2 linked regions of the Coturnix japonica genome follow. The protein of the gene in region 2 purifies or fractionates together with the protein of the main gene of each other region. This does not show direct contact. Links are inferred from orthologs where the notes say so. Each region holds a gene or a part of one and is shown on either strand. Other genes may lie near its edges.

What was found.
Region 1: the proteins of BBS7 (region 2) and BBS4 purify together in Homo sapiens (co-immunoprecipitation; 7 studies listed by BioGRID and IntAct, counting the BioPlex papers as one, with this or other methods). This does not show direct contact. The link is inferred for Coturnix japonica from reciprocal best matches to the Homo sapiens genes BBS7 and BBS4.

The regions. Positions count from the first base shown.
Region 1 is NC_029525.1:1,067,268-1,071,528, reverse strand, and holds the start of BBS4 (Bardet-Biedl syndrome 4 protein), read right to left. Parts: upstream 2,838-4,261; 5' UTR 1,935-2,837; coding exon of another isoform or gene 1,909-1,934; coding exon 1,885-1,908; intron 1,838-1,884; exon of another isoform or gene 1,719-1,837; intron 1,693-1,718; coding exon 1,641-1,692; intron 1-1,640. Other genes in the region: E3 ubiquitin-protein ligase ARIH1, read right to left, coding at 3,847-3,931.
Region 2 is NC_029519.1:48,267,841-48,271,006, forward strand, and holds part of BBS7 (Bardet-Biedl syndrome 7 protein), read left to right. Parts: coding exon 1-36; intron 37-1,102; coding exon 1,103-1,242; intron 1,243-2,820; coding exon 2,821-2,985; intron 2,986-3,080; coding exon 3,081-3,166.

The sequences.
Region 1 (4,261 bases), on a different chromosome or scaffold from region 2:
CACATTGGCACATAAGGGAGACCAGCGGACACTAAGTACTGGATTCCATTTGCTAGCTGTTTCCCTCTGGCACACAGCTGTATGAACACTGATACCAAACCAAGGATGGGGAAGGCACGTCACGTGGTGGAGAGAGCAGAGCAATTCTTCCACGCAGCCTTAAAACCCCAAGGAATGCTGGTGACCTAAAGAAGCATCCAGCTTGGTTTCAGGCTTGCAATGCAAAATGCCAAATGATGAGAGAAAGCTCCTCCACAACAGCCACAAGTAATGTTTTGTCAAACAGCAAGATCTGCAAAATGGTCCTGTTAAGAAAGGCACAACTGTCTCATCTCACCCTCCCAAATGATCAATATTAAGCTGCGCACACTTAAAAGCAGGAAGGCTTGGAGAGTTTAACAAGCACGCAGACAGAGGGAAGGCAGCTTCCATGCAGTGCACCCCTGCTGCTTGTTTGGAAGGTTGATGGCCCCATCTTTCTTGCTCAGCAATTCCATTCACTCATGAATTATGCAGAGTTGACTTAATAGAGCCAGGAAGCAGCGTGGCAGTGATAGCCCATCCCCTCACAAACACCACCAGTCTTGGAGCTGCCTTAGAGAACTGAAGACACACAGTGTCCTGAAATACAGGCAGAAGGCACAGCCTGCAAACATCACTGGTCTGACCTGTATGAGAAGCAATGATGTGGGGTTACGGGGTACGAGGGGACCAGAATCATCATCTGTATAGAGAAGGATGGACACAAGGCATCTCACTATGGAGTCAATCAATTTGTATTGTAGTAAAAGTATTAACTGAACCTGAAAGTACAAAGCCATTCTTTATTTAAAAAGATAAATGAAGATCAAATCCATTAACAACCCAGGAACTATGTATGCAATAAAAGTCTCTCAGGTTGTAAGAAGTATTCTGTAAGTTAGCCAGCAACAGCACCAAGCTAGTGACTTCACAGACCCTAGAAAAAAAGCACTTCTGTTGGATGAAAAGCCGCACACGAGGCAGCAGTGTCCATTTGGGGCCTGGAAAGCCAACAGCATCCTGTGCTGCACCAACAGAGGGCTGGCAGCGGGCAGGGAGGACACTGCCCCCTCTGCTCTGCCCTCACTGTGCCCAGACCTGGGGTCCCAGCACAGGAAGGGTGTGGAGCTGCTGGAGCGGGGCCAGAGGAGGGCACGGAGATGCTCCGAGGGCTGCAGCACCTCTGTATGGAGACGGGCTGAGGAGCTGGGGGTGTTCAGCCTGGAGAAGAGAAGGCTGCAGGGAGACCTCAGTGCAGCCTGCCAGTATTTATAGGGAGACTGTAAGCAGGAGGGAAAGCAACTTCGTACACAGGCAGGTAGTGATAGATAGGACAAGGGGGAATGACGTTAAACTAACAGGGGGGACCTGGAGGTGAGGTGTGAGGAAGACACCATTAGCCCAGAGGCGGTGAGTGACATCCCTGGAAGGGACACGGACACGGGTGGACCCCGGGCAGCCTGAGCTCCGTGATCTTTACAGTCCATTCCAACCCGAGCCATCCTACATGACGATTGCCTCATTTTTCCCAGTGAGCAGTTAATCCTTGCTAGATTTCTTCTAAGAAGAAATCTTAAGACCAACCTGCCCGATAAGCACAACCAGAACTTAAAACCCACCTCTTTTAGGATGGGGTTTTGACGGTCCCGCCACCACTGGCGACGAAGAAACCTGAGGAGAGAGAAGCACAACGTTACCTCAGCGGCACGGCTCCCACCGCTGTCAACGAGCAGCTCGGTTACACAGCGAAGACTTTGTTTGTTTGTTTTTGGGGGGACGGTGATGCCGCCAACATAGGCAAAGCGAACAGAGGCCAAAGGAAGGCGCACCCAGCGCAGCCCCCCCCCCATCCCCTCAGCTCACCGGCCCGGCCTGCGGCTCCGCCATGGCGGCGGGAGGAGCGCGGTTGCCATGGCGGCGGGGCGGCGCAAGGCGGGAAGGCGCGGCCGTGAGGGGAGCGGAGGGCGGCGCCGGGCCGGGCGGCACGGAGGGGGCGGTTGTTCCTCGGTGAAGCGCCGCCTGCGCTCAGAACAGCGGCGGTTTCCCCCCGTCCTCGCACGCCGCGCTGTACGGGAGCGCTCCGACCGACACGGGCAGCCCCGGAGCCCCGCGTGCCCTCCCCCCCTCGCCCGGCGCCGTTCCGAGGGCAGCAGGCCGGGCGCGGCCCGCAGCGCAACATGGCGGCGCTTCAGGCCTCCCCCGGAGCCGGCCCTGCTCTGCGGAGCCGCCCTCGGCCCCTCCTCCCCCCGGAGGCCGCACAGAGCTCGAGGCCTGGCGAAAAATACCACAGGAGGAGTTCCTATACAGGAGTAGATTTAATAAAACCACCACCAATTGTTTACTTTAACATAGCTCTTGTTACAGAAATCATAAAAATGGACTCAGCAGCTATAGCTCATTAGTTCTTTCCCCTTTTAATTGAAAAATACCCTCTCAATTTCAGTTTCTACTGCGCTAGATGGAGTGTTAAAGAGTTGCCGGGACCCCGTGCCCGGTAACTGAGCCCGAAACAAACACAAAGACAATTCCATCATCTCTCCTTTTCAACGTTACGACTCGTTATAATGTAAGTGAAACTTAACAGCAAGGAACGCTCCATTGGACAGATGAGAGGGGATGGGAGAGGAGATCCACAGCCGAAATCTTGCCATAAGTCTTTGGAGAAGTGGTGCAAAATCCCCCTCCTTTTCCTGCCTTGGAATTCAGAGAAATAAGAAAACAACTCTAACCACATGCGTGCACGCACACACTCGCACACACACTCACACACAGCTCCTCCAGGATGAGAGCGCGTGTCCTGCGTGTGCAGGTGGAGCAGCACAGTTGGACTGGGGCAGGTCAGGCAGAACCAATGTGGGGAGAAAAAACAGGGGAGGAGGCAAAGCATCCTGAATGGCAACGACGGGGCCACCGCCAGCACTGGGTACGCACAGAACGACGGACAGAAAGGAACTGCACCAAGAGGAGAACTCCGACTCGCCTGCTGAAAGCCTCCAACAACAGTCACTGCAGCAGCACACGCTTCGCCCACCCCATCCCAGCGAAAAACAGAACAAGAGGGGGGAAATAATATAAGTGAAAAATCCAACTGAAAGAAAATGCACAGCAAATAGACATAATCTTGAAGATTTTTAAAGAATAAATATTTTTTTGTAATTAAACATTATGCAAACACGTGCCACGCTTGCTCTTTGTCCATGCATATGCGCTATATACAACTTTGAAAAATACTGTGTTGTCCTCTTTTTTCTTTTTTTTTTTTTCTGTTTTAAAAGTCATATACAAAGGTTTTTTTTCCTTGCTGTGTACCCCCCTCCTCCCCTCCCCAAACATCATCTTTACAAGGAGCCAATCAACATTCATCCGTGTACTGGGGGGGAGGGAGGGGCAGAGAGGAGGAGGGGGGCGGGAGGCATCCCCCCCCCTTACCAAAGTACATCAAAATGGCTGGTTTGGACATGAAAAGCAGTGTCAAGAAACTGGTTTAAATTTCATCTGTACTACACACAGGAAAAGAAAGATAGAAAAGAAAAAGGAGTCGCTTGGAAAATGAAGCTACGTTACAAGTTAAAGTTGGAGGGTTGCTTTTTTTTTTTGTGAGTCTGTCACACTCTTATTGGCCGCCTAGAATACTGTTGTACAATGGTTTATCTACCTCTTTTTTATTACAATATAATTTACTTAAATTTTCTGTTAACAAAACAGAATCCCGGTTCTACAGACCAGCGGTGTAACAGGCGTAGTGCCTTGTGTGTGTTTTTATTGTTATCGCACGGGCGCTCTAGATGGTAAAAGGTTCAGAGTTCGTTTTATGCGGGGCCAGGCTCAGTCCTCAATGTACTCCCACAGGTCCTTCTCGTAGCCTTCATGCACGTGCTGCAACAAAACCCTTCGTCGACTCTCGCAGTATCTGCAGCGGAGGGGAACAGCACAGAGAAAGCGGGTTAGGAGGCACAGTTCTTCCCCAGCATTGAGTAATGCAAACCTAAATTAAGCCTTGCTTCCAAAAGGGGCTATCCCCTGAGAAGGGCTTTATATTTGTAGCCGGTTAACAGCGCTAATTAAGACTTCAGTTACTCCAGTCACTCACTCCAGGTCCCTGGTTGAAAAAACATCATGCAAATGTAGAGTTTCCTATGCAAAAGCATCCCCTAAGTCCCAAGGGCTCAGAGATCCCTTTAATAACTGAAAAATGAAGAAGTGGCAGCTGCTACCAAAGCACAGTTCAGCAGTGACACCT
Region 2 (3,166 bases):
CGATGCCAAGCAAATACTACAAGACTTGAACTTAAGGTAAAGTGCTGTAAATTATTTTCCATAAGAAATTGTGATGTGGATGTTTGCTGCAGTGTGAAGGAATCTTGCCTGACCTGGGCTGAACAATTAAGCTGAGTAAATGGTTCATCCAGTTTGTGTTTGTCCCTGCTCAGGGACATGATTTAGTGGAAGGCTGTTAGAGGCAGGGTAGTATGGTTAGGTTGCGGTTGGACTTGATGATCTTTAAGGCCTTTCCAACCTGAGCAATTCTATGATTCCATTATTCTAGTGCTGCTTGTTTCCTAAGCAGTGTCTAATCTGGGGCTAATATTTTTTTCTGATTGGTCCAGGGTTTCTAAAGCCTTCTAAAATTGTGTTACATCAGAGGAGAGCTTGGGATCCTTCATTGAGTACCCCTAAAATGAAAGCAGTTGAGAAATGGTCAGTAGTGAGTGTACTTGATTCTGTGGAATTGAAAGTGGAGAAGTGTGGGAAGGAGAGCACTGACACTTTTTGTCCTGAGAAGTGTTTGATGTGGCTATTCTCAGTTGTGTGGTTTCTTGTTAACAATCCAACACATTCAAACATTTTTGTAACTATAGCTGGGGAAAATGATAAGAGAAATCAAGATTATTGAAGTTAATCCTCAGGATAAATTGGACTCTGGGCTTTCTTTTCATGCAGTCACCTCACACTGCAGCCTCCTACCTTGATATTTGTTGACTGCACGTTTTAAAGGAAAAGATTGTGGTTAGAAATTTAAGCCTGTATAAAATGCATCAAATGTGGGGGAATTTCTATTCCTTTTTTGATGAGGTCAATTATGGAACTAGTGGGCAAGGTTAAGACTCTTATTTCCTGGGTCCCTTAAGCAATTCTGTTGGTGTGCATTTTAACTCTTGAGCAGGTCACTTCATCTGACTCCATCTTTGTGCTTTTTATTTAGGGATTACCAAGTAAATATTATTACTCTTCTGTAGTACTGCAGAAAATCTACAGATTTCTTTCTTATATTTTGAATAATAACTACTTCTCCAAATCTCAGTAAATCATTCAGTTCTCTCTTGTTCTTTTTTTGTGGCTTCTCTGTTTCCTTCTTCAGATTCGATCAATTGAAGGACGATATGGAACACTTCAAGCATATGTAACTCCAAGAATTCAACCAAAAACCTGCCAAGTTTATCAGTACCAAATTAAACCCCTTTCACTTCATCAGAGAACTCATTCTATTGACCATGACAGGTATTTGCAACAACTACAACAGCTGAGGGAGCTGGGTTGCGGGGTGACCTTATTGCAGCCTTTCAGTACCTAAAGGGAGCCTTTAAACAGGAGGGGAGTTGACTCTTTGAAACGGTAGATAATAGCAGGACAAGGGGAAGCGGTTTTAAGTTGAGGGAGGGAATATTGAGGTTGGATGTCAAGGGGAAGCTCTTCACAGCGAGAGTGGTGAGGTGCTGGAACAGGCTCCTCAGAGAGGTTGTGGATGCTCCATCTCTGGAGGTGTAAGGCCAGACTGGATGGGTCCCTGGGCAGCCTGGTCTAGTATTAAATGGAGAGATTGGTGGCTCTGCCTGTGGCAGGGGGGTTGGAGATTCATGATCCTTGAGGTCCCTTCCAACCTGGGCCATTCTGTGATTCTCTGATTTTTTATTTGAAAAACTGATGCAATCCAGTCAAAAATTGTACTCTATAGGCTTAAGCATGTCATTCCTAACCTACATTTTTGAGCCCGTATGAGTTTATAGGCTTTGTAGGTTTGACATAAATTACAGATTTAACTGGTTCCCACATCCCTAGCTTTTCTTTATGTGTTTTCAAGGTCTGTGTATTTTTCACTTTACTGACTTGTGCTATAGAGCAATCCAATTAATAGAGTTGAGGGTGTGGTAGAAAGGAAACTGTGCTGTGACAGTAACCGCAGTCTTTTCAGTTTCAGCCACAGTCTCCCCTTTACACCTATATTGTGATTCTTTCCCACAACTAATTTGACTCTGAAATTGAGCCAAGACTTTTCTTCCTTATCTCTGAATTTGAAATCTACTTATTTATGTATTTTCTACTTGATTACTCTGTCCTTAATTAACATCTTATGTTGCATGCATTAAAACAAAACTGACAAGTTGAAGGAATTGAAGGCCAAATGCAAATACATTCTATGCCTCATTCTTGAAATAAATGTCTGTGGTTTACAGGATGGGAAACTGTTGAAGCTTAGCTGTATTTCCTGTGTTTTTTAGCTACTTTTCAGGTTTAACAACTTGAAATGGTGCATGTCAAACACCTTCAGTTTCTTATCCAGTTCTGACATGCCTGCTATGATGTAAAGGTGGAATGTACACATAGGTTTTGGTTTAGAAAACTAGCATTAATCAGCAGTGCGTGGGGACGGGACTAGGGGTAATGGGATGAAACTTCAGCATAGGAAGTTCCGCATGAATGTGCGGAAGAACTTCTTTACAGTGAGGGTGATGGACCACTGGAACAGGCTGCCCAGGGAGGTGGTGGAGTCTCCTTCTCTGGAGATATTCAAGACCCGCCTGGACGCCTACCTGTGTGACGTGGTGTAGGGAGCCTGCTTTGGCAGGGGGGTTGGACTTGATCTCTAGAGGTCCCTTCCAACCCCTACAATTCTGTGTGATTCTGTGTAATCTGTGCTGCACGGCTACTTAGCAAGATAACTGACTTCATGGACAGAGCTGATTATAAAAAACCACCAACTTGGAACTAAACATTTTTTTCTCATATGGATTACTAATGCACTATCAATGCTCATCCTTTGGAGCCAATAGTGACTTTTGAACTTTCATCCTGTCATAGGCCAATGAATACACTGATGCTCAAAGGACAATTCAGTTTTGCTGAAATTCACTCTTGGGTTGTGTTTTGCTTACCTGAAGTCCCCGAAAGGACTCCGCCTGGAGAGACTGTCACCTTTTATTTTCAAAACACCTTCCTGGGTACCCAACTTGAAAGTACTTACAGGTAAAATACAACTACTAGAGCACCGTGTGGCTGCCTTTTGATTGTTCTCTTTTTCATTCTTGTTTGTTCGACGTAAAGTTTTTCTCCCTTTACAGAATAGGTGAGGGATGTTTCAAGTCTGACAATATTTCGACAATATCCATCCTGAAAGATGTGCTTTCCAAAGAGGCCACTAAAAGGA